Linked DNA regions of Schizosaccharomyces pombe. The gene in region 3 interacts genetically with the main gene of each other region. Each region holds a gene or a part of one and is shown on either strand. Other genes may lie near its edges.

Region 1 (7,970 bases), on a different chromosome or scaffold from region 3:
TATAAGTGCCAGTTCTTGGTTTTCTTCTTTCTCATTTGGTGAGTCAAAGTCTACCGATTTGGTATCATCTACCAGTGAAAAGATCCCTGGAGCCAATCCTGCCAGCTATTGTGCCGATTGGGATCGTGGCGATGACCATGTTGTCGTTGACTACATTAATTTGATACCGAATCCCCCAGCTGCCGGTAAAAACCTTACCATTGAGACTGAGATTAATGTTGGTACTACCGTGTTGAATGGCAGTTACGTGGATATTCAGGTAAAGTATGGATTTGTTCGAATTGTGAATGAGCGCTTGGACATTTGCGATAAGGCTTACGAACTTGCTGCTGTTGAATGTCCCGTTGAACCTGGTATCATCACCAAGCAAGCTACCATTTCCCTCCCTTGGGCTATTCCACCTGGTAGATACCATGTGCTTGCTACTGCCTACAATGCTGATGGCGAACAGTTGACATGCGTATCTGCCTCTGTATCCTTTAGCCACTTCGGATTTCAATTAATCAACCAAGACCATTAAAGCTTGGCATTCCTATCATGCCTATTGACTTTCCTCTACTTCGCTATGTAAAATAATCGGAGTCAACATCATATGTATTTGTTAAGTTAAATGAGGTATCTTCTCTTTTATTGTGCTATTGCTTTTACTTCAAGATTGTTTTATTTCGTTTGTGCAATCTAGTATCAGGTCACGTTCAACGCTATCTTGATTAATTGGACTATTTTCTATACATGATTTAATATTTTAGAATTACCTTTTACCAGTTTTTATTTTAGTCATAGTGGTTTCACTCTAGTATTCTTTTGTCATGAAATCCCTCTTAATTTTATTGTTACGTATAGTGAGTGTGTAAGATGCTCATCAATACGCCAAAGATATGTTTGAGACATGTCGCATGCCGACTAGGCTTTTTTTTGTTGTCTTATACTCATTTTCTCTATAACCAGGAATTTATACACAAGTTTTCAAATAACCATAACTAAAGTGTGCTGCTGATAAGAGTAGAAAGAGATATAAGCTTGGATGACCAAGATATAAATTTTAGACGATTAAATCCGATAAAATGAAATAAATAAACTTAATTTTATTATGTACAGGATTGATTTTTTAATTGATTCCTTCGTCGTGATTCATATGCAAGACGCATACATATTTAACACTACGACAACCAAAAATTACCATTATTCAAAGTCCAAAATTTTGGTATGTATAATTTAAACAAAAAGAAGAAGAAGGAGCAAAAATGTCTAAGCAAAATTAGTACCAGTAGTACAATAAAGATACAGAATGATTCAAAATGATTAATCTATAATGGTATTAAGAGCAGGGCACACAGATTTATAGAAAAATTAAGGAAAAGCATACAAGCTTAAACGCTTTCATGTTCACTACTAGGAGGATCCGATTCACCACCAGTAGATGTGACATGTGTATCGACTTTTTCCAAAGATGCAGGTGCTTTTTCAGGTGGGAAGGTAGGGTTAAGGACACCTGTATTTGGTTTTGGTGGAGGATGGGCATCTTCGTCTTTGCCAGGATAGCAAAGATCATTGACGAGAAACGCACGGACCATTAAATACATTAGGAGGATCCACTGAATACAAAGAATGACCCCAATGATATGTCCAAACATTTGGAAAGCTTTGGAATCTATCATTTTACCTATCTCAATGGTACAATTAACAAAACCCACGTTGGGGAAAATGAATGCAAACCATCCACAAGCAAACTTGAGAGGGGCTCGAGTGAAAAAGCCCGCTAAAAAGCTAACCATGGCGAGACAGTAACACCAAGCAGCAAGACCCCAAATAAAAATAGCCATAAAGGTAGAAACAAAACCAAGATACTCGGATGAGTTGGCGCCAACAAAAATATAAGGGCGACTGCCCATAGCACCACGCGCAATATTAATTAAGGCCAAACCTGAGAAAGCTGGTGGACCGACAAACATAAACATACCAGGTCGATCTTGGGGTTTTGCCAGGCCTACAGTAAAAAACCGTAAGACATTGACGGCAAACAGTAAAAGATAAACCCAAAAACCAAGTCCTTGAAAGAGGATACCAAAGATAACCATATTTTTTAATTGATGAGCGGGTTGTGTAGAATTGACGGCGCCAGCAATGACACCACAAATCATAGGAGGGAAAATAGGAAGAATCCAAGCAGGAGATGCGGTTTCAATGGTATATACATGGTTGTTGAAAATTGTAAAAAAAGCCATTACGCAGTATATAAAGGATACTGCAACGTAAATGTAATAAAGGATTCGAATGACCCACACCATCCACTCGCCGGTATCAGGATAGGCGTATATGGCAAGCATGTCGATGAACGTGGATATTGAAAGAAGACAAGTAGCAATGAAAAGCTTTTCCAAATGATGGTTCCAGGAATCCTTGATAGTTGAAGGATATTTAATAAAGCGAAAAAGCATGCATGATCCAAAGAGAGAAAACAAAAAGATTTGAAGAATATAAACAATTTTGCCAATTGTATTAAGACCATAAAATCGAAAGGGGAAAGAACCAATAATCAAACCAACACCACCAGTTGCCATAGTACATGCAAACCAAGACCATGTAAAATGCTTCAGTCGTTGACTGAGAGGGACATGAGGGGCTTTGACATTCCAGTCAAGCAACTCATGATACCTCTGTTTCAAGATTTCCTTGAGTTCACCCATGTCGAATCGAGAGATAAAGGGGAATTAAAAAAAAAAATAGTGGCCAAGAGAGAAAATGAAGAATGAATATAATATAATATAATATAAGGAGAAAAAGGAACAAAAAGGAAAAGACGGAGGAAGGAAAGAGACAACCAATTGCTAGCAATTTATCTGTGAGTCTAATCGCACATGTTAGTTATCGTGATGAAAATAAAAAATGATAGAGAGTGTAAAAAATGAATGACTGGCTGTTGCTAGTCTTAGTAAATGAGGCAAACTGCCGATACAGAAGTAGGATGAGAAATCAAACAAAAAGTCTAGTGCAGCAACAAATAAGCTTATTTTGTGTAGCAAACAAGTAAAAGAAAACAAAAATAGAACAAACAAATAGTGATCAACTTAGAAATCAACAAGAAAAGATGCATACAAATCCAAATTTCCAAGATTTTCGAGGGGCAACTTTCTACCAACAGATTGCAACGTTGATCCTCATCGCAAACAAACTGGCACTACACAACAAAAAGCCAAACTATACAGTCATCCTACAAAACAAAAACTTACCGATGGACCTGGCCAACCCAACAACTTCAGCAATGAATGACTGACTGGATAAGTCAAATTCGAGCCACTATATTTATATCTCTTGGAAGCTTAACGAATTTAACCAACCTGCTGTCAAATGCACAAACCTTCGCTAACCTTGTGAGAGTGGAGATAGCAAAATTTTTTCTTTTATGCCGAGGAGATGCTAATTATGCTGCTATGAAGTCGGTCAAGAGTAAATCTGGTCCTTATATGACGCAAGCTAGATCTAGATTAATGCTATAGGCATACGAAACTTTGGTATTAAAAAAAAAAAAAAAAAAAAAAAAAAAAAAAAAAACTAACTCAGTATAACAATATTGACAATAATAATATACCGAACCTGTGGTGTTTTTCCAGACTTGGCATCATAATAATTGGCCTAATTTTTCTGCAGGTCAAAGGTGCTTTTGGGAAGGGAAGTTCCATTTTCTCTCAATAGGCCACGAACTCGGTCTTTCAATTCCCTGCATTTTTGTATCCGCTATCGCTAATGTGGGTCCAGTAACAAGGGAGTGTGATTTTAGAGTCAGTTAGATGGAAAAGCTATCATTTACTGCCTAAAAGCAGTTCGAAATCTCGGATCTACGAACTAAGAAGCCGAACGGCTCATTCGCGTTATCAACGGGTATCTATGTATATAGACGGATCGTTACCCGTGATTATCAATAAACGGATCTTAGCTAGTATTCCAACATATGACATATAGTGATACGCAACGTAGTGTATCATAGCGTAGAGTAGTATTGCTGACAACTAAAGTATTTTGCGAGCGTGCGGTACAACTCTGTAATCATAAGAAATCAACTCGCAATATTAGTCTCAATTGTACACTCTCCAACAACCCACATATCGAAATGGAACAGAAACCGGAAGTTGATTACTCAGAGAAGTTTGCAGAGTTACAAAAAAGTTTAAATAACCTTAATACCATAGACATCGTACGTAAAAATCAAAATTTTGACTAATCTCTAACTTGTAATTGTAGGATGCGAACCTCGAGAAGCTTTTGATTTTTGAGAAGCAAGTTCGTCAGGCTTCTGACACCAGCACGAATACGAAAGTATTAATATACATTGCTGATTTGCTCTTTCGAGCTGGTGATTTCCAAGGCTTAAACGAACAGTTGGTTAGTCTCTTTAAAAAGCATGGCCAACTGAAACAATCGATGACAAGTTTAGTCCAACATGTAATGACCTATCTTCCTGGAATTGACGATTTAAAAACAAAAATTAATTTGATTGAAACATTGCGTACTATTACTGATGGAAAGATATATGTGGAAGTAGAAAGGGCACGTCTTACACAACTGCTTTCCCAGATTAAAGAAGAGCAAGGTGACATCAAATCTGCCCAGGAGATCTTGTGTAATGAACCAGTAGAGACTTACGGATCTTTTGATTTGAAGGAAAAAGTTGCATTCATTTTGGATCAAGTTAGATTATTCTTACTGAGGTCTGATTACTACATGGCATCTACTTACACGAAGAAAATAAATGTTAAGTTTTTTGAAAAGGAAGACGTCCAGTCTTTAAAACTTAAGTATTATGAGCAAAAAATCCGAATTGGTTTGCACGACGATGCATATCTTGATGTTTGTAAATATTATCGAGCAGTTTATGACACCGCCGTGGTTCAAGAGGACCCCGAGAAATGGAAAGAAATATTAGAAAATGTCGTTTGCTTTGCCTTGCTTACTCCTTATGATAACGAGCAGGCAGATCTTCTTCACCGAATTAATGCTGACCATAAACTAAATTCTCTTCCTTTACTCCAACAATTGGTTAAGTGCTTTATTGTCAATGAACTAATGAGATGGCCCAAAATTGCCGAAATCTATGGAAGTGCTTTAAGGAGTAATCCTGTTTTTGCTGAAAATGACGAAAAAGGTGAGAAACGTTGGTCTGAACTTCGTAAGCGAGTCATCGAACACAATATTCGTGTAGTCGCAAACTATTATTCCCGCATTCATTGCAGTCGTCTAGGAGTGTTGTTGGATATGAGTCCTTCCGAAACAGAACAATTTCTTTGCGACCTTATTGCAAAGCATCATTTCTATGCCAAGATTGATCGCCCAGCTCAAGTCATTTCATTCAAGAAATCTCAAAATGTGCAAGAGCAATTGAATGAGTGGGGTTCCAATATTACTGAACTTCTTGGAAAATTGGAAAAGGTAAGACAGCTTATTATAAAAGAAGAAATGATGAATTCTATTCAACAGGCGGTAGCCAAATAAATTGTTCCGTCTCTATTTCATTTCGTTACTTTCATGACTTTGTCATTTAAATAATATACTATTGGTTCAAAGGCCTTCAACTTTTTTTACGAGAATACAATAGTTTTAATGTCGAATTGCAACCTCGGAGAAAGTTATTCTAGTAAGTTTGTAGTGATTTTCGTTGTTATTTGTCTCGTAACTAGAAGGTTAACTTGATGAATTATTTTAAATAAATTATTGTAGTTCACTCAATATGTAGTCCCTTAATTTTTATTTCAGTTGAGTTTAGTTAAAAGATTGCCATTGGTATCATATCTGGCCTCAAAAAAAGTATAGCTTAGAAGAATATCGTCAATATCCTTCATATTTGGATCATCAGCAAATTCTGGATCTATAAAGAAAAACACAGGCAAGTCTACTTTTTCATGAGCATCTAGCTTTTGCTCTTCAAAGCAAAAGCATGCAACCTTTGAGAAGTAAACAGCGGCTTGACCTGGTACTATATTATAAGTTGCAACTCCTACTATGTCATGGTCGGACGTATTTTCAGCAGTATAAAACCCTAGAGCAGTCTCGCCTGGAAGAACATATATTTCACGCTGCTGGGGCCAAAGCTTCCAGCTAAGGTTTCCTGCAACGTCGCCATTGAAAGTAACTCTGATTCTTTTATTGTCTTTACGAGGAACCATTCTTTCTGCATTCATACGACTTTGGTCGGTATTAAGAGTGCCACCATAACCTGTTTTCGAACAGAAAAGACGATATAAAGGTACAGCCGCATATGTCAAGCCCAACGCAAAAATGGAAATTGCAACCAGATAATAGATAGTGGTCCTTTGATTATAGTGGAATTTATCTCTCGAATATTGTCGTGAAATATTCCTGGTACCAGAGATGCAATTGTAACAGCTAAATGAAGTAAAAATACAAGGGAAACGATGTGAATTAAAGTCTGCAAATCGAGAAAAAGCTTTATGACGATTAGTCGAATAGAATCGTTTTCCGACAAAAATAGGATCTGCAGTTGTATTTCTTTCAACTTTGGGTTTATTATATGAGGGGGGATTGATTGAATAGGTAGAAGAAGCATCTTTTAAATGTTTAGTAATTTTACTACTTGGAGAAGTACTTTGAACTTTGCCCTCTAACGGAAACAAGTCGCCCCAAGCACTTTTCCTAGCTAATCGATAAGCTAGTTTACCTTGTGATTTAGGAACAATATTCCTTCTAAGCCGAGCATCGCTATCACAGACATCAATTATGACATGTCCATCTCGCTTCAGTGGAGGTCGAATTATACGTGGCCAGTTTTTAAGAGTTGGAGATGTAACATTCACATTTTCTAGTAAATCCTCATCATTCTTGAACCTTTGTGTGGTATTATTAAGCGGTCTAGTTATACCCTTTTGAATAACAACATAACTGTAATGAGAGCGATCCGAGGATCGACGATGAGAACGAGGGACATATAGACGGGAAAATGGGGATAGGAAAAAATGTTGTTTGAAAGAACAAATATTTGCTCTTACCCCATTTTCTATATCAATGGGGCAGCGACCATCGTGGGGACAGGGTGCTACAATATGGGCATTGAATTGTTTATCAGAAGTATTTTTACTTTTTTGCAATAGAAATGTTCTAGCTCTTTGAATCAAACTAAAGCCACGCTTTGTGCCTCGCTCGCAGAGCACCAAAAGACCACCATCATTTGACACGAGACTCCAAAGCGAACGAAGATAATCAAAGAGTTCTTTCTCCGATTTCATTTCAAGAAGCTTGTTAGATGCAATAACTAGAGTGTATGAATCCTTTTTACCCAATGGTAGACGGTTAAGCGTAACAGGGCTAGTTGGATTCGGCGAAGTTGACGGGTAAATGTTATGGTGAATATCATATATGATTTTTTTCAAAAATGGGTTCTCCTCAACAATTGAAACTGAATTAGGTGTGGGAAAGACTGAATAACTAGCTAGAGCACCAATACCTGGACCTTTACCGCAATCCAGTATATGTTGAGACTTGCAAGACACATCACTGTTTACAATTTTCAAGTCAGTCAATACGCTGTATAGAGAAGCATATTGATACGGCATAGACTGATGAATATAAGCTAAAACTTGGGGATCTGTCATAGTCCGAGTAGATTCATCTTTGAATGGCGCAGACAATGGAAGCTGAGATTCCGTAGCCAAATCTTTTTTAATATCATTAATAAATTTTTTAATTTGTCCTTTTTCGCTCTTTTTCAATAAATCGTCCACATATAGATTAAATTTTGTATGCAAACTAATATCACCACTTTTCTTTTGATCCTTTACCAAAAAGTCGAGTAAACTGGAAGCTTCTGGACGATGTGAAGAGATCAATTCGTTTTTATAATCAGAAAAGTTGTTTTGAACAGCTTGAAAATTTGCATTATACCACCTAATGGTAGTGGTTGTTCCATATGGTATGAGACATCGCTGATTTTGAAAAGTAAAGCAATTCCGTAAATTATAAAG
Region 2 (7,490 bases), 1.9 Mb from region 3:
TTCTAACCTATTTTTTAGCATTTTATTTGATGGAAATATGCATGTAAAAATTACCGATTTCGGCACAGCCAAAATCCTACCCCCTAAATATGTAAATAGCCCTGATTACACTACCTTTCCAAGCTCCTTTGTTGGCACTGCGGAATATGTTGCTCCTGAACTATTGTCTAGACAAGTTGTTTCAAAATCGTAAGAAAACCTATTATCCCAGTCTATTTTTTTTCTGACAAATATTTAAGTTCCGATTTATGGGCTTTTGCGTGTGTTGTTTATCAAATGATTGTTGGTTCCCCTCCTTTTCATGGCAGCAATCCTAATAATATTTTCAAAAAGATAATGAGCCTGGAATATGAGCTTCCAAAGCTCTTACCACCTGATATCGTTCCTTTGTTTAGCCATCTTTTCCGTATTCAGCCATCTGATCGATCTACAACCCAACAAATAAAACAATTTCCTTTTTTTGCTACTATTACTTGGGACAATTTATGGACTCAAGATCCTCCTCCTATGCAGTCATTCCGGCCTAATTATAACATAGCCATTCCTAATGCTCCTGCTTATTATCGCTCAAATGTGACAGCCGCAGCTGCTGCTAATGCTGCCGCGGCATTTGCTTCTGCATCCATTGTAAAGCATCAGGAAACTGCTCGACGTCAGGAGCTTCCTACGGTAAATCGTTTCACTGCTCCAACTGCTCATTATGGCTATGCTTCACTTCGAAGCCATCAGATGCCTGTTGACAGACTTTATTACAAGTTGGTTCCATCGTCTGAGTCGATCATTGAATCTACCTCGGTCTTCGTATCACCCATTCCAAGTGTACCTGAGGGTAATAAGTTTCCATCTGGACTCTCAAAAATGTTTTTGAAAAGAAAGCAAAGGGTTATGCTATTAACTGATGTTGGTCGATGCGCTTTTGTTTGTAAAGGAAAACATGAGAGACTTTTTATCGAGATGGAGGTGAACTTGAAGGATTCCAGTGTTGTAGTGATTTTTGATGAAAATAGTTCCAAGCGATTCTTGATTGAAGATAAGGTCCAGTCCTGGATAATAGAAGACAGTTCCGGGGATGTCACCAAGTATAAAGACAAAATCCTTAAGTTTGCTGATGTTGCGTCTTCTCATCAATCTCGTTCTTCAGAAGAGAATGTAGAAGAGAACGAGGAAGAGTAACCCCATACCTTGTTTTATTTGATTTTTCAACCCATTTACTACCTTCTTTATATTTTATTATTTGTCGTCAGTGTTTTGGTAATATTTAACTATTTAAGCTATACATAATTAGAAATTACGACGCACCTAGGAAGTCGCAAGATGGAGAGGTATTATGTATACATATATATGTATAGTATTTATAATATATATACTTGAATTAATTTTATGTTAAAATTCCATTTCTTTTGGTGAGATGTTAAAATTATAATATTAGTAAGAAGAGAGAGTTAGATAGGATCGATTTAAAGCGCATACTCTTGATACCAATAAAAGTTTTGTGGTATCAAGGAAATAATGTTTATCAACGTTCCAAATTAAAACAGAAAAAGAAAATGATAAATGTTCAGGACCCATTATGCTAAGCTCTGTGATATCAATCCTCATCTTGTTGACATATGTTACATCATGTGGGCCACAATTAATAAAGCTATTAAAAAAGAGTTAGAAATATCAGTTTCTCTTACTTTTAGAAGAATTTTCAGAAGGCATTTTTTCCCAAAATAATTGAATTCTAGCAAGCAGGGCGTTATCGTTTTGAATGGGAATAACACCTGACAGAGCTTGCATTACTACTTCAAAGTCTGCATCAATTAGCGTGTCCCACATTCCTTGTATAACCGCAAGAGAAGTGGCTTGCAATAACCTGACAGTTTGACCTTTGCTTCCACCTAATAAAAACAGGAGATCCCATATACGTAATTGAGTATGGAAGGGCACGCATTGATGAAAAACAGTGAGATACCAACGTGTAGCAAAAGCAGATGGTTCTGCTCCAATTTCCGCCAGATGTCTGCCTGATTGTGTAAAACTTAACTCATGCTTAAGCATGTCAAAAGCCTTTAAAAGTGTATCAAACCCGGAAGAAAACAAGTCCCCCATGCCTCTATTTTCCAATAAATTTACCATCATTATAAATGCTTGTTCTTCGGGATAGTAAATGAGCAAGGTCGCAGCAATAGAAGCCATTCCTTGAACGTATCCAACACGAGGTATATAGAGAGCTACAGCATGAAGAACTCTAAATAGTAAACGTTGCCCTCCAATGTAGCGTTTTCGGAATAAGAAATGTGTAGCAGCTGTTCTGGGAACATCTAGGTCAATTTGAACATCATAGTCACAAATCTGCTCGTTCAATTGGTAATACTTGTCAATCAGTTTTTTATCAGGAAGAGAATCCACAAGAAAGGACCACCACGCAATAGATCGCCAACAATCTGGAATCCCCTTAAATGTACGTAAAATTAACTTACGAGTTTTTCGAAAAGAATGGAGCTGATTACCGGAAACGAGGTGTATTGAACACATCGATTTCCATTTTTGAATACGGGAAAGCTCTTTAGCTGATATTTCGTTGCGGTCATGCGACTCGCCGGGAACAACCATGAAGATGCTTTCATCAACGTACTTCAGCATGTCATCATGGCCGATTAATTTATTGCCAAGACGTTTGGCAGGGTTTGGTTTATCTAATGTTGGGTCTTTACTAACTTTATAGAACCCTAAATTATTAACATTAAAGTCTGAGCGATAGTTTCCGTAACGATCCACATTTTCCAATGACTCTTTTGTATCGATTTCTTGAACTTTTCCATTAATAGGTTCTGGTATATTTAAATTATTCTTGTCTTCTTGTAACCTGTACAACGACCGAATTCGTTGCAAATTGGTTGTTCTAGTTGGGGAAGGGTTTTCCATGCTCTTTCAGATATATCCTCAATTCCGTCACTCTGGAGAAAACAGATTACCTACTAAACTGTATTAAAATATCCAACACAGAAAGATTTAACAGGGGGGAATTGTTTCCGATGTAGTAATGTTTACGGTCCCAAAAGACCGTCTATCCCCATATAAGTCAGTACGTTAGATCCCAAAATCAAAATAACCAAACATGAAAATCTTTTTTTGACGTTTTTATAATTTTTCAAGCAATAAATGCATTCGTGCAAATGCTTATGAATTTGGTTCTCGCTACAAATTTATTGGCTCTATGTCATTTCCATTGATGAAAACTAGTTATAAAGTAGAGACCGAGACCCGATCACAAAACAAAAAAACGACACGCTATATTGCTTTACTGTAATTACATAGCTTTTCGCTATTTTGTTTAAAGAAAAGCTAATTTATCACTATTGATGCTTGACGAAATGCTCCCTATCGGCACATTCAGCAGGTGCTCAAGTTATCCAACAACATCATAAGCACTAGACATTAGATATGCCGGTATGTTCTAAAGTTTTGAATTTTTGTTGCTGACATGTTATGAAAGGCCTATCATTCCTCCTTCTTAAGTCTTACGGACGTCCCTACCACGGGAAACATAGCAATGCTGCCGTTGAAAACCAAGTTTCGTGGACCGGCTTATCCTGGTATGTTCCAGATATTTGTCAACTCTGTTTAAAGACTATTCTTAATGTTATTAGAGTACTTTCTAACATTTTTTATACAGCTGATGAGAGTCAAATGGATATTATTGATGAATGCATTGGGCTGTTTCGCGCCAATTGTTTCTTCCGCAATTTTGAGATTAAGGGACCAGCAGACCGTACTTTAATTTATGGAACATTATTTATCAGTGAGTGCTTGGGAAGAGTTAATGGACTCAATTATCGTGATGCTGAACGTCAACTTAATAGTTTAGCGTTGGAGAATTTTTCTATTCCTGGCTCTGCTGGCTTTCCCTTGAATGCATTATATGCTCCTCCCCTTTCTCCTCAAGATGCTGGTAAGATTCACCCAAACTGTGGCATTAGACATATAGATGTTTGTGCCGCTAATAGCTTTCTTGCTTTTTTTTTCATTTGCTAACTATTAAAAAAAGAAATAATGCGTACATATCTTACTCAATTTCGTCAGGAACTTGCTTATCGTCTTTTGTCCCATGTATATGCAACTGAAAAGGATCATCCCAGCAAGTGGTGGACTTGCTTCAGCAAGAGACGTTTTATGAACAAAGCTTTGTGAGTCTATTAATTAATAATTTGGCTCATACTGTATTTCAAAGCCTTTATGTTTTTCCGTTTCCTTTATTTCAAATGCGGCTTATAAAGTTTTTGAAGCGTACGAATGGCTTATTTAATGTAGGCAGTTTTATACGTAGATAGTAGATGCAAAAATAATCGCTTTACTTTCATGTACAAGTTATCAATTAGCTTTGTTAATTATGCTAAAGGAATATTTGAATGATTAAAGTCGTAATATTCAATGTTGGTTCAAAAATTTTTATTGAAATCGTAATTTTGATTTTTGCAAACGGCAGACCCAATAATGAGGATGGTATATCCATTCAAGCATACTTCGTTTGTCCCCCATATAAGTCGTGTCGACCGAATTGTGCTTTAAAACCTCAAATCCCATACTATCCATCACGTAAAACAGCTGCTCGAGAGTCAATTCAACGAAAGGTTGTTGCTGGCTATCACTGTTAGAATTAGAAGTACCTTCTGACTCAAAATGATACAATAAAGGCCCGAGATTTATCCAATAACCTCCATCTACCAAACAGTTTTTAATTGTATCCAAATAGTCCAGTATGTTTTTTGTAGTGTCTATAAAGAAGCAGGTAGCTACTACTTGAAACGAATCACGACTTTCTTCGGTGCCGTATACCTCCAGGAAATCCCCGGCTGCCATTGAAAAGTTTTGTGAATTCCGCAGATATTGAGAGGGAACTGCATCAGGAATATTTAATGAACGCACCTGGTCATCACGCATGACATGGTTCGAAAATGAATGAATATAAGGATACACAAGAAACTGATTTTCCTGCTTTACGCAATTCAGTATGAAATGCGACGTTAAAAGCATAAAATATGAGAACTCATTTCCTTGGCATGCAAAGCCTATTAAATGTTAGAAGCTATGTCCAAAAATCCAAATTTAGAAAGAAGTTAGAAAACATGTAATCAGATAAATAATAAATCATGCTATTTTTGATTGATAGTATCAAGTGTACCTACCTTCCACAGCTATATCAAAGGCCAATCTTCCTAAGCCGGAACCTGGAACAAGTACACGAATTTTAGATCTGTCTATAGAATCAGATGGGAAAAGTGAATTTAGTTCCTCGATGAAAGGAGCATATGTAGTACGGCGTTCCTCAACACATTCGGTCGACCAATCTCTCGCAATTTGCTTGAGAGTGCTTGAAACTTTTTGCATCATATCAACATTGACATGAAATAACTCATTTTGATCGAAATCACTGCAGAACACAGGAATGGCTGCGTTAGCGATTGCTTCAGCAAGCACGCTGTTCTGCTCGATACATTGATCAATCCTTGAAAGATGCTTTAAAAAATTGTTGTCAGAGTCCTGTAAGAGTAAGTCCTTGTGTTCAAAAGACAACCTGCTCATCGATTTTCTCTTCTGTTGTGTTATTGTATGAGCATATTGCCTGTACAAAAAGAACGCGCTTAAAACTTCTTTCAAAACTTTTACTTCTTCCTCATCATATTCCATAGTTTTTTTTGATGTTTCTGAGCTCTATCTAGACTTTAATATTTTTATCATCTAAGTCGCAATTTTGGCGTTGTGGAGAAGTTAAACCTCTAACTTGTTGCTTCATTGAAGTTGGAAGTGTTGAAGAAACCAATAAGTTAAGAATATTATGGTTAATATAATTATGTTTTATGTATTTCATTAGCTTTTCAAGTTATGTTTATATCTACTGTGTTTGATTGCAATATTGAATCATCTCTGCTGAAAATCCCTGCAACGCGGTGCCTCTATGAAAATAGTGTTTGCCTTTTGCAAAAATCCCATAGGTTTTATTTGGATAGTTGTCAGACAATATTTTACAACAGCAGCCGCAAAGGAAATTCACCATGCTTCAACAATACCGGAACAGCTAATCTTCTGAAGCATCGTTATAGTAGTATTGTGAGTTTTGTAGATTATAAGAAAATAATATAAGAGAATCTTGGTGCACGCAGTAATATCATACAATATTTATATTGCAGCTTATAAACGAGACTGGAAATACACGTGAAAAGGTAGTCAGGTTAAAAGTTTAACCCTGTGACATCTGGCTAATCTTTTATCCTATTGCGCAGTTAAAAGCGGGAATTACTTCTTTTTCTTATATTGTATCAAAAATTGTTGGCTTCAGTGACCTAAACCCTTGAACAAAAGAAAAAAAACACGAATTTTCACGGCCGGAAAAACTTTCTGCAACGTTTTACAAAGGATCTACTATCATAGTAAGTAGAAATTTTGGCTTCTTGACATATAGTACTAAGTAATTTTCAAGTCGATGCATCAGTTGACTTCAATTGAAAGAGCTTGCTAGTTTGTGATGTTTATGGCATTTGAATTCGGTAATATCGCTAATTTGATATGGACTTACGTTTAGCTTTTTATTCTGTAAAAAAAATTAAAATTCAATGTAGTTGATATCCCAGCTATATATTCAATCTAAAGCTACAACGCAAGACATCGTCAAGTAGTAAATTACTTTTTACAATTGCAAATTAACTTTTAACAGATTGGCTAAGCAAACGTGTATTAACTCATTTAGCGAGCGGATCAAAGTTTTGCTCTACGCTTCTGTAAGTATGATGTATGTGCATCAACAACACGACGTTAATCCTTGTCACGTAGCAACTGCAAGCCACCCAAAGCACACATCGTGTGGTTTCGTTTACTATACATTTTTTGGTCAAATTTTACTTTTAAAGAAATGTTAGCTCTTAAACTTCAAAAGAAGTATCCGGAGCTCACTAATGAGGAAATTCTAACCTTAACCGACCAATTTAACAAACTTGATGTGGATGGAAAGGGATATTTAGATCAACCTACCACTATTAAAGCCTTTGAAGATTCAAAGAAGGGTTCTTACGATGAGGTCCGTGAAGCAATTCGTGAAGTTAACGTTGATTCGTCTGGACGTGTTGAACCCGAAGACTTTGTAGGAGTAAGTAATGTTTTCCGTAATTTTCACGATATGTGTCTCTATATCGCTTCATCAATTGGATTACTAATGCATATAGATTTTCAATGTTTTAAAAAAAGGTGTAGAAGGTACTGAAGTAAAAAAGGGTCGGATTACTATCAAAGGATCTTCCTCAAGTGTTTCTCATACCATTAATGAGGAAGAGCGAAGAGAATTTATCAAGCATATTAATTCCGTCTTAGCTGGAGACCCTGATGTTGGTTCCCGAGTCCCCATCAACACTGAAACCTTTGAGTTTTTCGATCAATGCAAAGATGGTTTAATCCTCTCAAAGTTAATTAATGACAGCGTTCCCGACACCATTGATGAGCGTGTACTCAATAAA
Region 3 (7,979 bases):
TATAATGACGCTACGTCTCACTATACCCCGAATTTCAATGATTCCTCCATATCAGTCAGTGTAGAAAAAAAAGACGAACTGGAGATGGAAGAACAGTTTCCCACCATCTTTGGCATTTTCGGCCATTTCCTAATAAGCGCAGCAATTCCTGATGGCTGTAGCATTGCACATTGGGAGGGAAGAATGATACTCTTTTTGCAGATATTTATTTCGATATCACTACATAGGGCCTATCCTAGTCATTGGAAAGGTGCCAATTTCCAGCGATATTCTCCTATTTTTAGAAATAATTAAAAGCTTTGCACAAATTTCATTCCTACCTCACTTATTTCGTACATCTCAGAAGTTTGATGAACTTGGGAAATCCCAACATATGACAAATGCAATGGGAAAGATAATTGATAGTTTTCCAACGAAAAAGTGGGATTTAATATGTATATGAGAGAGGATAGTAAAATGTGCCAAATTTTGGGTTAACTAGAGGCAATCTAAAGTATGAAGTAAGTGAACTACTAGACAAACATCTACAGAAACAAAGTATGGAAATAAATGAAGATAGACAAACGAAAAGCATACTATTTCGAAAACGAATCAATATTTAGTCAATTTTTAGATCCAAAATCCATTCATTTAAAAACAGACCATGCCATCTATTTGGAAGCAAAACTGTAGTTATTCACCTCAAAGCGAAAGTATAAGGAAAAAAAAATAAGCCGAGACAATTAGGTTACTAAATACGTCTTCTCATGGTTTCGGAGAAATGAAAAGGGAAAAAAAATTAAATGTATACAAATATATGTATATGTATATGTGTGTTTGAGTCTGTCTATATGTATGTATAATAAAATAAAAACAGAAAGAAGAACAAAAAAGATTCAGAACAAAGAATCAATCAAAAATCCATCTGTCTATATAATAAACCAAAATCTTTTCACTTCAATTTCACCACCGACTAATTCGAAGTAACGGCATTGATAGCTTCGGCAAAGTATCTTACATTGGAAGTGTTGAGACCGGAGATGCTAATACGACCATTCTTAGTGAGGTAAATGTGATACTGTTTAGCCAAAACATCAACTTGCTGGGGATTTAAACCAGTATAACAAAACATACCAATTTGGTCAGTGATATGCTTCCAGCTGTGTTTATTCTTAAGGTCCTTTTCAAGGATGTTGCGAAGAGCCTTACGCATACTCTTAAGACGTTCGGACATGCCTACAACTTCACCAGCCCACTGTTCACGAAGTGCAGGGTTGCTCAATATATGGTTGGCAATTCTGGCCCCATTGACGGGAGGGTTGGAATACAAAGCACGAATGAGAATCTTAGTTTGGCTTTCGATACGAGCGGCTTCCTCAGCATCGTTGGCTAAAATGCTAAAGCAGCCAGCACGTTCACCATATAGACCCATGTTTTTAGCAAAGGATTGGCAGAGTAACATGGGGACATTGCTGGAGGCGAACAGACGAGTGGCATAAGCATCACGAGCAAAATCACCACTGGCAAATCCTTGGTAAGCCATGTCTAAAAGAGCAAAATGGTTTTTCTTTTGCATTGTTTTGAGGATATCATCCCACTGAGCTTTCGTAGGATCTACACCAGTTGGATTGTGAGCACAAGCATGCAATAATATAATAGAGCCATCAGGAGCTGAAGTTAAATCGGACAACATGCCTTTAATGTCCAACCCACGAGTAGCAGGATCATAATACTTGTAGGACTTAACGGTCAAGCCAGCTCGAGAAAATACATTCTTGTGATTTCCCCAAGTAGGGTCAGATACGTAAATAGTCTTTGATGGATAAAATGAAGCAAGGAAATTAGCTGCTATACACAAGGCACCGGTACCACTAATGGATTGAGCAGAAACCAGCCTATCCTTTATAGACTCGTAAACATCGCCATAAGCCAATTTTGTTGCTTGCACACGGAAACTGGGAATTCCTGTGATGGGTGCATATTCTTTGTCGAGTTTCTGACTCAACAGCTCAGTTTCTGCCTGACGAACACTGGGCAGAACATAAGGCTTTCCGGCATCATCACGATATGTACCAGCACCCAAGTTCATTTTCTTAACATCTCCATCCTTTTTATAGGCCTCTGTAATACCAAAGATGGGATCCGGTGGTCCCATAGGTACATCTGCCCAAACCTTGAATCCACGCTTGCTCTGACTTGCCAAGCATTTTACTCCATGGTAGGAAACGTTGGTTTTTAACGATGCAAATGTATTTGGATGCAAACAACGCAAATTCCTGGCCAACATCGTCGAAATCAATATTCTTCCCAAAGTTATTTCTGGGAGATTGGTTAAAGGCTCTTCACAGGCTCGCAATCAATCGAATCCTGCTAATATATATACGTTCTTATCATGAGAAAACCACGTGGTTCAATGTATCTGCTTACCGATCGATAACATAATCCGAAGCTGTAAGATGTCAAAATTAGATAACGACGTTTATTGTTTCTTTCGTTATCGTTCACTTGTAGAGCTGTTCCGAAAAAACATTAAAGTAGCATAGCGAAAGCTATAGTTTTGTAATCGCAACGTAGTTTAGCAACTAGTAAACAGTAACTCGTTAATTACCAATATTTATCGTAAGTAATTAAGGTAGTTAATAAATTAACATTAACAACAATAAAAATTGTAAAATAGCTGTTAGACTTGTAGAAAATATTTTTCAATAACAAGAAGTCATTCAATAATCATAACTTGAATAAGTCAATTTAGACCTTCGAACACTGTTTAAGTCATCAGACTGTCTTTAGTAGCTGCTTCTATAGCTTTCACTGTTGTTGCTGTAAAAGGTTGCAGAAGTAAGTTATAGAACAATAATTCTATTCATATGGAGGACTTTTATTAAGAAAAAAAACGAAATGAAGCCTACAGCACCCCGGATTCCCATGTTGTCTCCAACCATAGTACTAACGAGGCCCTCAGACGCTTAACTGCAGTGATCGGACGGGAACTGGTGTTTTCGCCTAGGTATGGCCGTAGACACCTAGTAAAATACTTTATAGCTTATATAATTTTATGCTATGTAATTTTGAGAGGAATGTGTGTTGTTTGAATTGGGATAAATATTCTTTAGCAATGATTCCTAAGTAAAAGATAGATGCAAGGTTAAATCACTTTAGCAAAGTCTATGTTCTAACAAGAAACACGACGAATGCACGAAAAGAGATCCGTACTCCTTTTAATAAAAATCGATGGCAATTGTTTAACCTTTTTTAAACCATTATTACTTCTACAACACTTTATATTGAGGAAAATTTACTTAAAGTGAGGTCTCTTGAAATGGAATGGTTGATTCACGCGTTGGTAACAGTAGATACATTTTCGTGTTCGAAATGTAAACAACTCAAGAAAATTAGGATGTGTTTTTACCATACACTATTCAAAAATTACAATATCGCAATACTATGTTACGCAATATGTTAGAGTGCCTTGAGCCACCGGTTGCTTGCATAGTGTCGTGGTGGAAAACGAGTGAAGCTAGATATTACCAATACCAGATCACTTTCACTGAGAGTATCGATCCAAAAAATGGTAAGTATTTGAGTATTTTGAGGCTGAAAACAAGACTGAATTAAATGTAATTTTTTCATCTATCGCTGAATAGTCTTGTTTTCACTCTATCACATTCTTTTCATGTTTTAATATTTAATCCTAACTCTCCTATAGGGACAAGCACAATCTGGGAATTTTTCTAATTTCGGCGATGGTGCCAACGGCGACAATAAAAAAGACCAAAAGAAAGATAAGCCCAAATACGAACCTCCAGTTCCCACTCGAACTGGTCGTCGTAAGAAGAAGGCTCAAAGTGGTCCTGATGCATCGGCAAAACTACCTACTGTTATCCCAACGACTCGTTGTCGTTTAAGGTTGTTAAAAATGCAAAGAATCCACGATCATTTGCTTATGGAAGAAGAGTATGTGCAAAACCAGGAACGTCTTAAGCCACAGGATGAACGAACTCAGGAAGAACGCAATCGTGTAGATGAAATTCGTGGTACTCCAATGTCTGTAGGAACTTTAGAGGAAATTATAGACGACGATCATGCCATCGTTTCCACAGCTGGACCAGAGTACTATGTTTCCATCATGTCATTTGTCGATAAAGACATGTTAGAGCCTGGTTGCAGTGTACTTCTCCATCACAAAGCCATGAGTATAGTAGGCTTACTTCTTGATGATACCGATCCAATGATTAATGTTATGAAACTCGACAAAGCACCTACAGAAAGTTATGCCGATATTGGTGGTCTTGAATCTCAAATTCAAGAGATCAAAGAGGCTGTAGAGCTTCCTCTTACCCATCCTGAACTCTATGAGGAAATGGGCATAAAACCCCCTAAAGGTGTCATTTTATATGGTGCTCCCGGTACTGGTAAAACTTTACTAGCGAAAGCTGTTGCTAATCAAACTTCTGCTACGTTCTTGCGTGTCGTTGGTTCTGAACTTATTCAAAAATATTTAGGTGATGGTCCCCGTCTTGTGAGACAATTATTTAATGCTGCCGAAGAACATTCGCCCTCTATTGTTTTTATTGATGAAATTGATGCTATAGGTACAAAGCGTTACGATGCCCAGTCGGGTGCTGAACGAGAAATTCAACGTACTATGCTTGAGTTACTCAATCAGTTGGATGGATTCGATACGAGTCAGCGTGATATTAAGGTTATTATGGCTACTAACCGTATCAGCGATCTTGATCCGGCTCTTATTCGTCCAGGTCGTATTGACCGCAAAATTCTTTTCGAGAATCCTGATGAAGCTACGAAACGTAAAATTTTTACCATTCACACTTCCAAGATGAATTTGGGCGAGGATGTTAATTTAGAAGAGTTAATTCAATGCAAAGATGATTTATCTGGTGCAGAAATTAAAGCAATCGTTTCTGAAGCTGGTTTGCTTGCTCTGCGTGAACGCCGAATGCGAGTTGTTATGGACGACTTTCGGCAAGCTCGTGAAAAGGTTTTAAAAACGAAGGACGAAGGTGGACCTGCTGGTGGTCTTTATATCTAAGTCCAACTTTGGTTATGACTAGTTTTACTCGCATAATGGCAATACTTCTTTTTATCCATACTTGCCATTGACTAAATAATTTCCAGTTCCTGTTTAGTTTCTACGAATATCTGTATTTCCATCTTCACTATTATTATTTAATCCTGTAGAGAAGTATTGTATGCATGATTATTAAGTTATCATTAAGTTTTATAGAGTAACTATAGATGTCCATAAAATTTATTATATCATCATACGTATTTTATTAACTTCGTGCATTCCTTGTCGGTTTAAATTTTGGATTTTTTAAAAAAAAGAGCGTAAAATAAGCAAAGCAAACAAAACGTGTCCATAGAAAATACCTCTCCGATACCTCTTTTTTTTTATTTTCTTCAATCGATCGCATTCACAATTTCAGTGACACAGTTTTCTGATTATATTAAGAAATTTAATTCTAACGTGTGCAACAAAACGCCTTTATAATACACAAAAGACGTAAACTAATCAATCAAATAATTACTTTTTCACCGGTTTACACATAGTGTGATATTCAACAGGCTTTAATGCACGGACTGTATCCTTAAATATAGAAAGAGGACAGATCGTATCATTGCCTTTGTATCCTTGACCTCGACATGCACCCATCACTACAGGGGTTGAATTGTAGGTAATTCGGACATACCAATCAGACATATCTCTAGCAGAATTAGACGCAGCAACGATAGCACTATTGCTGGCATCTGTAGACTCATCGGAAAACAACTTCAAATCTGTCGTCTTATTATCGCCGCTTTGATTTTGGGAATCGGATTTGCTTGATGTATCTTCGAATAGTTCCATTTCAAGATGTGATGTAAAGGGTGGCCAGCGATAGTCAAATGCGTCCAAAGATGCTAAAATGGCAGCTATTGTAACATCATGTGCGCCATAGAGGGCCAAACGATGATAGGGTGAACCATTCTTTTCAGCGACCACGAAGTTCTCCATTCTCATGCTTAAATCATTTAACAAGCTTCCAGCACCTAATTGACGCATCAACTTAGAAACCTTATAACCGCCAAACCATTCTTCTACAACAGCAGTTTCGGCATCGCGTAACCATTGTTCATCTCTTAGGTTGGGATTGAAGTCGACATGGCTACCAATGGCAGCGTTAATAGTATCAAGCAAACCACTGAGACGAGGATGGCTTGAAACAACTCTAACAGGCTGACCATTCATGAATTGACTCATCATTTCAGAGGCACGGCCTGCAAGTAAGGGATCGTAAAGCTTAGCAGCTCGTTCTGCAAATTCTTCATATAGTTGCACAAGTCGAGGACAGTTGTTTTCATTAGGAAGTAGGTTTTCGTCTGACCAATTTCTCGTAAAAATGACAGGTAAACCCATCTTACGCTTTGACTCAGGATACAATCCGGAAAAAACATGTTCTAAAGACTCCAAGGCTCGCACCATTGGAGTCGCACGCATATAAACATCAGCGTAGTTATTCAATTCATCAGGTAAGAATTTCAATTGTTTGACATAACGTTCTCGAAGATACTCACCAAGTGTTCTGGTAGTAACACGCCCAAAATCAGTCAATTCACCATGAATGCAAACACCACTTGGGGAATTGTCTGAAGTTGGTGCTGCAAGAGACGTGTCAACTGGTGACTCAACCTTCCTTTCAAAACCCAACACAGACCATTCCTTTTCCCCTTTAATTTGCGCAAAAAACCTCCTTGCATTATTACAAAGCTTCCAATCCTTAGGGATACCGGCGGAACCAAGTCTTTCCTTCACGGGAGCACGTTCACCATGTCGAAATATGACTTGTAAATATTTCAGTTGCAGCTGTTTTGGATAATCGACTCCGGGAACTGAATCCGGGAATTTAACAGAAGCTGAAGACATTTGAGACATGGCGGCTAGGAAGTGGTTGATGATGCTGGATAAGAGCTGCTGTCAACTAAGGTCTCAATGCTTGAACATCATCGCAAAGCTCATATAAAATATGAATTACTGAATATTAACGAAACGACACTATTTGAAAATTAGTTTTGTTTATGAAAAGAAAACAATAAAATATAAAGTTAATTCAATCTTAAAAAACTGTTAGGAAAAAATTAAAATGAAAGTCATTATGAGATATAACAAAAAAAAAATACCCAGACAGGGTTTCTCTTTAGCTTTCTCAATCAAAAATAAAAGATAAAAGACGCAACCACCAAAACTATAGATAGGTTTAAAAATTTTAATGAGTGCAGTTAAAATAGGAGAGACAAGAAAGCTAGAAGTTCAATATATTAATTATTGTTCAAATATACATACAAATTTGTCATCATCATTAAAATCATGTATACCAACAAGCCCCAGTAAGCCTCTCAAATTAACCATCTCTGTTAAGAAAATCAATTAAACCATTTTTGATAGAGAAATGATTACGTTTAACCATAAGCACATAGAAAATATCTCTGGTTTCACCAGTATAAACAGCGTTTCACAAAAAGCATCACCAGATTAAGTATAACCTACATGTTTTGACGTTAAATTATACGCCAAAAAAGAAGGGAATTCAAAAAAGTTATTAACGCTACCGTAAATTTTTACTGATTCGAGATCGCTCCAAGAAAAAATTTGATATATCTTCCTTGGTGACAACCCTATTTTCACGAGCAAATGGAGTGAGGAAGTCCGTTAGCTCAGATTTTAAGCGATTATACGCATAAACGCTTTCGTTAGCTTGTACACGAGGAAGTCTGTCCAAAATACGAAGGACATCATTCATTGTGCTAGATATGACTTGCTCAATCATTTCTCCAGATTCACTGGGATCCTCATTCATCTCACTGATTCCATCCTCAGAATCCTCAGGAGGTTCGTAAATAGGTTCTTCTGCCACCAACATTGGCATCTCCAAATTACGCAAACTGATGCAAGATTCACAAGGGCACAAATTTTCCCTAAAGTTTTCTGAAAGAAATAGAGG
Region 4 (8,089 bases), on a different chromosome or scaffold from region 3:
CTTATTCATGGGGATAACCTGCTTCCTCAAGATGATCAAATTGCATCGGATCCTCGCTCAGAATCAAATAGTTGTAATGGCAATACGAGTTCTTCCCTGCCGTGCACTGATTCGTATCAGTACCCATTAAAGCATTCTTGTACGCCTTCTTTTCTTCGAAAGTTTAATGAAAGTATAGAGAATGTCTCTTATAAATGCTTAGACCACTCACCGCCAGATAGTGTTCCTGGCGATTTTTCCATTTCCCTTGTTCCTCAAAGGAATTTTCTATATTCTCATTCTTCTCTTCCACCTAAAATTATATCAATTGATAGAAACAATCGAATTAAGTTAGATAATAGCATTTCATCTAACTCCGACAATTTCCCTCCTTCTCCGAAAGTCGACACATCAAACACTGTTTCACCTGGTAGTAAACCTATCTCTGAGGATCTTGAAGATTTAAACTTACAGTCAATTGTTCAAACTTTTGAGGATCTTCCAGAAGGAATTCAATCTTATGCGTTTTTTCAACTACTCCGTTCGTGCAATCGGCAATCGATGCGTTTATTATTGAATGAATGCGAGCCGCTTCTAAAAAAAGATATACTTTCAAATCTTCCTTTTTCCATTGTTCAGTCTATATTATTAAATCTGGATATACATTCTTTTCTTTCTTGCCGTCTTGTTTCGCCTACTTGGAATAGAATACTTGATGTGCATACTTCATACTGGAAACACATGTTTAGTTTATTTGGCTTTCAAATCAATGAAAATGACTGGAAATATGCTAATCCAAACTTAAATCGTCCACCTTTTTTGCACAACGACCAAATCTCAGATGACTATTTTCCGGAAATTTTCAAAAGACATTTTCTCAATAGAAAACGATGGTTATTTCCTTCGATACCTCCAAGTCATCTATCTTTTCCCATTCATGTTCCAAACTTTATGATAACTTCTTTACTACTTCATAAAGACAGAATAATCACCACTTCGGGATCTGGAACAATTCAAATTCATAATGCTATTACCGGTGTTTTAGAAGCTCGATTAGAGGGTCATAAAGAAGGTGTTTGGGCTGTCAAAATACATGAGAATACACTTGTATCTGGTTCGATCGATAAAACTGTTCGCGTTTGGAACATAGAGAAAGCTAAATGTACGCACATATTTAGGGGACATATTTCCATCATCAGATGCTTAGAGATCTTAGTTCCGAGTCGTCTTATTCGCCATGGAGTTGAAATTGTTGAACCAGATCAACCGTACATTGTCAGCGGCTCTCGGGATCATACACTTCGGGTTTGGAAGCTTCCAAAAAACACGGATCCTCCTTATCTTCCAGATAATACAAACTCTATTGACCGTTGGGAGAAGAACCCGTATTTTGTACATACTTTGATAGGACATACAGACTCTGTACGAACTATATCCGGCTATGGTGATATACTTGTGAGTGGGAGTTATGATTCTTCAATTCGCATTTGGAGAGTTTCAACAGGGGAATGTCTTTACCATCTGCGGGGTCATAGTCTTCGTATATATAGTGTTTTATATGAACCAGAAAGGAATATTTGCATAAGCGGTAGCATGGATAAGTCCATTAGGGTTTGGGATTTATCGACAGGGACTTGTAAATATGTGCTTGAAGGCCATGATGCCTTTGTTACGCTTCTTAATGTATTCCAGAATAGGTTGATATCAGGTTCTGCTGACTCCACAATTAGAATATGGGATTTGAATACTGGGAAACCATTAATGGTTTTGCCGTCTAATTCAGGCTACATTAGTAGCTTTGTGTCAGATGAACACAAAATTATTAGTGGTAATGATGGTTCTGTAAAGTTATGGGATGTTAGGACTGGAAAGCTGTTACGTTTTCTATTAACAGACCTCACAAAAATATGGCATGTCGATTTTGATGCTATGCGTTGTGTGGCTGCAGTGCAGCGTGATGATCAAGCATATTTGGAAGTTATTAATTTTTCCGGATCAAGACCGTAGAAAGTTTCATTTTAACAATATTTAAGAAGACATAATTAGAGTAGTGTCTAACTATTTACATCAGCTACTAACACATATTAAATGTATACAATGTAAAATTAACAGCCAAAGCCTATCAAAAGTAAATAAGTAACGAAGGATTGAATAAATTATGCTGGTTGGTTTTGTAACTGGTATTGAATTAACATTGGGAAAAACTTCCAGATAGAAAAATCCGGCCAGTAGAAATCGATGAATTTTATCTCCGTATTTTTGTGACACTGATAAAATTAGTTGAATATCTTTGACTAGAAAATTAGGAGAATTTTTACTTACCTGCCATAACATAAAATCAGATAGACGCTCCACACCGCTAGTGCGAATCAACAAGTCTAAAGGAAGACTATCTTTTATCAATAGGTTTTTTTCAAATATATCTTCATCTATATCTTCTGGAGTGATTGTACCATCTTCTGCCATTTTTACTATTGATTGCACAGAAGTAGCAATTTCATGTCGAGAAGTGTATGGAAAGCAAACATTTAATGTTGCCCTAAGATGTCAATTAGCAAAATAAAAATTTGAAAAATTTCACATACTTTGTGTTATGTTTTGTAATTTCCACAGCCTTTAGAGCAGTTTCTAAAACGTCAGGTTGCAACCTGCTAAGATCGCCAACAATGCGAATACGGATCCCATACTGATCAACCAAATCACCATGAGCAGTAATTTGCGTTAAGCTGTTTTTTGCAATCTCCATTAACATATCAACTTCATATTTAGATCGCTTAAAATTTTCAATGGAGAATGTGAAAGCCGATACTTCTTTAACTCCTAACTTCAGACACACTTTTAATAGCTTACGCAGGGTTAGTTAATGTACCAAATTGTGCAGAACGTAGACGGATACCAATGCGCAAAACATGGAGAAACGGTACGTTTAACCTTCTATTAATGTTCTTTAAACTTACAGATTTTAAAGCTTCAAAACCTGAGCTATGACCCTCGATAGTTTCCATCCTTCTTTGACGAGCCCACCGTCGATTGCCATCCATTACAAAGGCTATGTGTTGTGGTACTTTGCCACGTTTAATTGTATTTATCATCATCGTTTCTAATTGATCAAGTGTCCATTGTAATGGAGGACAGTGAATAAACCAGCCTGATAAATTACCCATATTGTCAAGATATTTTGTCAATTCTTTTCTTTTCCTTTATAAATGCACGCTAAATATCAAAGAGAAATAATTATCTTGATAAACAATTATTTTCAAAAAACGATTAGATGTTTTTGACGCTTCTATAAAACACTCAGGTTATCCGGTTCTAGATATGTTTTATAAGTATAATTACCAAGCACGCTAGAAAAGGATTTTTAGCTAAGGAAATATACTTTCAATCGTAAACGAATGGAACAAAGAGACGCTAGTTTAAGACCAAACGCTTTTGTATTTTTTTTTAAAAATCACGAAAGAAATATTATTTTTTGTACAAATAAGTAAGACAGACAAAATTCAAACAAAACCACAAAATACTGTTTTCAAAGTGAGACGTGCGACCTTTGGGTCTAACTAGTCTAACGCAAGTGTCTCAGAAATGAAGCCAGTTCATTTAAGAGTGTCGTTAAGCCTCCTTATTTTTAATACCATCCTTAAGTTACGCTAATTAGAATCAAAATATTACAACTAAAGACTTTTCGCTCAAACCCTCTACCAGCACTTTCCTGTTCAAAAGATGAGGCCTATCATTTTACAGGGTCATGAGCGTCCTTTGACTCAAATAAAATATAATCACGATGTAGGTTTAATAACCGTCCATTATATGTGGAAAATTTACTAATTTTTGTGTGTAGGGTGATTTATTATTCTCATGTGCCAAGGATAAAGTGATTAATGTCTGGTTTTCACACAATGGTGAACGCCTAGGTACATATGAGGGTCATACTGGTGCAATTTGGACTTGTGATATTAATAGTACGTGAAAATTGGTGGTGATGTATGTTGGATTAAGACATCTAAAGGTATACGGATTATGGAAGTATAAGGAAACACGAATAATGAAACATATCATGACTCTAATAAATGTATTTTTTTTATTAGTCGTCCGATTGCAGATGGTTATACTCGTGATCCACGATTCTGAGTTGGCGTAGTACTTAAAGTTAAATATGCATGGTGCATCTCCTTTACTTATATTAATGCTACGTTTACCTCACTTCACTTCCTCGTGGAAAGCATTTAAACTTCTTTTAAATCCTTTTCCTTCTTCTTGATGCCTCAAATCCAACTAGATCATCTGTTCCTTTTCCAATGGTTACTAACTGAAACAGAAAGTAGCACTTTAATGGTTAGTGGAGCCGCTGACAATACCATGCGTCTTTGGGATGTTAAAACAGGAAAGCAGTTGTACAAGTGGGAATTTCCTACTGCTGTCAAACGTGTTGAGTTCAACGAAGATGATACCCGTATTCTTGCTGTTACCGAGGAACGTATGGGTTATGCTGGTACCGTCACTGTTTTCCGTGTTCCTATTTCGGAAAGCGATGCCGCTGCTGAAACCCCCCTTTACGTTATTACTACTCGTGAATCTAAAGCAACGGTCGCTGGATGGTCTTACTTGAGCAAGTTTCTCTTTACTGGTCATGAAGATGGCTCCGTTTCCAGATACGATGCTATAACCGGAGAATTCGTTGAATCTAAACAAGTTCATAATTCTGGTTCTACTATTACTGATCTTCAGTTTTATCCTGATCGTACTTACTTCATCACTTCTTGCAAGGATACGACTGCTAAAGCTATTGATGTTGATTCTTTTGAAGTCATCAAAACATACCTTACTGATACGCCTCTTAATACTTCTAGTTTTACTCCTGTCCAAGACTTCGTTATTTTAGGAGGTGGTCAAGAAGCCCGTGATGTTACTACTACTGCTGCTAGACAGGGTAAATTTGAAGCACGTTTTTATCATGCGATTTTAGAAGAAGAGTTAGGCCGCGTTAAGGGTCATTTCGGTCCTATCAACACAATAGCTGTCCATCCCAAAGGAACCGGTTATGCTAGTGGTGGAGAAGATGGTTATGTTCGGGTGCACTTCTTCGATAAAAACTACTTTGACTTCAAGTATACATTGTAGGTTAATTTTATTCAAAAAACTGTTGATAGTATAGTAATGGACAACGGAACTTTTTTCCAAAGATGTATCATTTTCGTTTAGGGAGCATTATATGAAAAATAACCTTCTATGAGTACAAGAGTTTTTTAATAAATTCCATTCAAAATTCAAATGTTTTAAAGTGAAAAGTAATGTAATTGTCATATTCCGTAAAGCAACTAACTTATCAAACGCTTCTTTTAACGAGCTTTTGAAACATGTTTGAGGAGAACAGCCCCAGAAATTATAATTGCTCCAAACCATATGTAGTTGTCTATCTTGCTGTAGGCTGGAGTCGTTATTTCTCGATAACTAGGTGTTTTTTTTGGGAAGTATCCCAAAAGTCGGTTGATGAGATTTTCGTCGAGCATGGCAAGTTCCTCCAAAGACCACAGTTCGCAAATCTCAATCATCCATCTCATTCTTTTGCGACTGTTTTCAGGTTCGGGAACAATGTCTCGTAATTTTTGTCGTAAAAGGCCAGTTTTTTCCAATGCCATACCAGTAGCTGGATTGATTGAACTTTCGATTTTTTTTCGTATTAAACTGGCAAGTTTTGGACCTTTACCATTGGTGCTAACCATAATTTGTAGAGGGCCGTTACGGATTTCAGACCCAAAGTAGAAATCACATTCAGGTGGAATATCCGCCGCATTGACCGGGATTTTTTTGCTTTTGCATAACTTATAAATTTCGGAAGACAAGCTGGGATCATCTATGGCTGTAAGTACCATGTTTACATCGTCAGACAAATCTTCGACTAGAAATCCCCTGTCTCGCCATTCAACTTGCTTCTCCTGTATTCTCCAAGCCACTTCTTTACAAAGACCAGCTTTTGGACTTACAACGATAACATGGGCATCCGCATTCAAAACATGCAATATACGCCCAGCTGCCACAACGCCACCTCCAACAATTAATACTTTTTTACCTTGTGCACGCCAAGCAATAATTAATGATCTAAAGCTTAGATTAGCCTAAAAATTACCTTGAGATACATCAAAAAACTTTGCTAGCTTTCATTTTGTATGCTTTGCTAATTTTTCAATTCTGTGTAGATGAAAGTTAAGATACTAAAAAGCTGAAAATGATTTATAGAGCCTTGTAACTTCATAAAGATGCTTGACTTACCCACCAGGCTGCACAGACTGATATTTTGAAGCCATTATTCAAATTTTATCTTAACCAAGTGTAGGTGTTCCTGTATACTTGAGAATTATAGTATCGCCAATTACAATTCGACATTCAGTATCTGCTTCCCTATACGGGTTAATAGTTGGGAATCCTATTACGCGTATACTATTCGTTTATTTAAGACCTAAATTTTCCAGTGAATTAAAACTACCTTGTGAATAAAATCCCGAGGACGTGCAAATTTTTGAAACTATTTCATAGCACCAACTAAGCATATTCCTATACATCATAGATTAATTAATATGCTAAATTTATATATTTTTTTCATTGACAAGAAATATCCATACAAAAGTAATAGATGAAAGTGGCTCTTAGACTACTTAGTCGTATTTAAATAAGACGTTAAAATTCTTCATTAATCTCCTTACCATGTATACCAATGTGGTATAAACAAATTTGCGACGTCAAAGATTCATTTTTTGAAAACGCCCTGAACACAAATGTGTTAAAATAAGCTTCTTCCAGAAGGCCAGGTGTGTCCGAGAATTTTGGAAGATAGTAATAATTTACTTCGAACACCGAAGACAAAGAAACAGGAATCGTGGCAAGCAAAACCAAGTTGTTCATGTTGCTTAAAATTTGATAATTGATATCATTGATAAGCCCAAACATTTGGATTTCACGCGGGAAATAAGAATCATCACCATGTATTGGAAAAATTAGTGAAATATGTCGCACGTACATTGGTCGATTTAAACGCACAGAAACCTGTACAGTATCTTCGTAATTACACCAATTACTATTGATGCTTGTGTCAAGTAAAGCCGTCGGTAGATTTGCTTTTTTTCCCCAGTAATCCCTTAAAATGTCAGAAAATTTAGGCTTAGGAAATGTCCATCCGTAGTCCACGACAGCACCAACAACTTTCAAGGCAAAGTCCGGGTGATCAGCAACATTTCTCTGGGAACAAGAATGTTTTATGTATTTTTCAACTCTTTTTTCTAAGTTTGAATTGAGTTTTTGATGAACAGATTCCTCAAGGTCTTTATGATAATAAGAATATGTGGCATCAAACTGCTTCGCCAAAAGATTTTTAGCAGCATCTTTTTTTAAATATAAACCGGAGTTTATGATTGAAAAATTGGTGGTCGATCTATTGCCATAAAAAGACTGTGATGAGTTGTGTCGCTTTACAATATACATAGCTTCTTTAGAGCTTTGAGCAATGTTCCGTAATATATCTTTCAAACAAAGAATATCAAGATTGACACTTTCGTGTAAATCTTCAATGCAAAGTAAATTAAAAATAGACTCTCCATTGTTAATTCTCAGAAAGCCCCGATACGAAGGATTTCGCAATAAATTGTAATGTTCGGCAAAAGAACAAATGGCTTGAACACTCTTATTGACTAATGAAATCGGGATGTTCCCAGGGTGTTTTTCGGAAACAGGCAGATGCGACACTAGGTATATGTCTTTTTCAATAAAATCTAGGTAAGTGTTCAGTAGAGGGTTAACAGAATCATTTATATCCTGTATTTTAAGATCATAAGTACTCATTAAATTTCTATCCCAAAAATGTAATAAAACATCTTCAGGGCTAATTGGATTTTGATAAAGAAGTGTCTTTGCCTCTGTAAGGTTTGACTGTAGCTTTAGCAATGGCATTATAGAATCACGTTCATTATATGTTGAAGAGGAATTACCAAATTTGGATTTAAACAGAGATTTCGCTTGTTCCAAGTGTTTGCCAAAACTTATATTAAAATTTGAAGGAATGAACCGAAAAGGAATTCTGTCTACGAAATCCTTATAAAAAAACTTAATATTTACTCGTCCA

The links.
Region 1: of rpt2 (region 3) and rpn502, extra expression of one rescues a mutant of the other (dosage rescue), as found in Schizosaccharomyces pombe (one study listed by BioGRID).
Region 2: of rpt2 (region 3) and arc3, extra expression of one rescues a mutant of the other (dosage rescue), as found in Schizosaccharomyces pombe (one study listed by BioGRID).
Region 4: of rpt2 (region 3) and sum1, extra expression of one rescues a mutant of the other (dosage rescue), as found in Schizosaccharomyces pombe (one study listed by BioGRID).

Annotation. Positions count from the first base shown.
Region 1 is NC_003424.3:4,907,014-4,914,983, reverse strand, and holds rpn502 (19S proteasome regulatory subunit Rpn502), read left to right. Parts: upstream 1-4,108; coding exon 4,109-4,192; intron 4,193-4,239; coding exon 4,240-5,487; 3' UTR 5,488-5,617; downstream 5,618-7,970. Other genes in the region: npc2 (phosphatidylglycerol/phosphatidylinositol transfer protein), read left to right, coding at 1-520; plasma membrane malate/succinate:proton symporter Mae1, read right to left, coding at 1,371-2,687; rsm22-cox11 tandem protein cox1102, read right to left, coding at 5,745-7,970. UniProt on the Schizosaccharomyces pombe protein: Acts as a regulatory subunit of the 26S proteasome which is involved in the ATP-dependent degradation of ubiquitinated proteins. Required for proper proteasome assembly.
Region 2 is NC_003423.3:3,108,144-3,115,633, reverse strand, and holds arc3 (ARP2/3 actin-organizing complex subunit Arc21), read left to right. Parts: upstream 1-3,396; 5' UTR 3,397-3,429; coding exon 3,430-3,435; exon of another isoform or gene 3,436-3,481; coding exon 3,482-3,581; exon of another isoform or gene 3,582-3,661; coding exon 3,662-3,937; exon of another isoform or gene 3,938-4,033; coding exon 4,034-4,176; 3' UTR 4,177-4,434; downstream 4,435-7,490. Other genes in the region: pdk1 (serine/threonine protein kinase Ppk21/Pdk1), read left to right, coding at 19-189, 240-1,173; SPOM_SPBC1778.09 (GTPase-activating protein), read right to left, coding at 1,666-2,910; SPOM_SPBC1778.07 (carnosine N-methyltransferase), read right to left, coding at 4,435-5,054, 5,172-5,673; fim1 (fimbrin), read left to right, coding at 6,893-7,126, 7,203-7,490. UniProt on the Schizosaccharomyces pombe protein: Functions as a component of the Arp2/3 complex which is involved in regulation of actin polymerization and together with an activating nucleation-promoting factor (NPF) mediates the formation of branched actin networks.
Region 3 is NC_003423.3:1,194,948-1,202,926, reverse strand, and holds rpt2 (19S proteasome base subcomplex ATPase subunit Rpt2), read left to right. Parts: upstream 1-3,498; 5' UTR 3,499-3,547; coding exon 3,548-3,550; exon of another isoform or gene 3,551-3,551; intron 3,552-3,685; coding exon 3,686-5,029; 3' UTR 5,030-5,149; downstream 5,150-7,979. Other genes in the region: aspartate aminotransferase Maa1, read right to left, coding at 953-2,266; SPOM_SPBC4.06 (acid phosphatase), read right to left, coding at 5,525-6,913; ubiquitin protein ligase E3 component mlo2, read right to left, coding at 7,584-7,979. UniProt on the Schizosaccharomyces pombe protein: The 26S proteasome is involved in the ATP-dependent degradation of ubiquitinated proteins. The regulatory (or ATPase) complex confers ATP dependency and substrate specificity to the 26S complex.
Region 4 is NC_003424.3:5,355,257-5,363,345, forward strand, and holds sum1 (translation initiation factor eIF3i), read left to right. Parts: upstream 1-3,667; 5' UTR 3,668-3,699; coding exon 3,700-3,762; exon of another isoform or gene 3,763-3,817; coding exon 3,818-3,938; exon of another isoform or gene 3,939-4,294; coding exon 4,295-5,097; 3' UTR 5,098-5,248; downstream 5,249-8,089. Other genes in the region: F-box/WD repeat protein Pop2, read left to right, coding at 1-1,986; rer2 (cis-prenyltransferase), read right to left, coding at 2,136-2,246, 2,302-2,518, 2,565-2,824, 2,937-3,143; met8 (siroheme synthase), read right to left, coding at 5,316-6,075, 6,247-6,281; protein Csi2, read right to left, coding at 6,652-8,089. UniProt on the Schizosaccharomyces pombe protein: Component of the eukaryotic translation initiation factor 3 (eIF-3) complex, which is involved in protein synthesis of a specialized repertoire of mRNAs and, together with other initiation factors, stimulates binding of mRNA and methionyl-tRNAi to the 40S ribosome.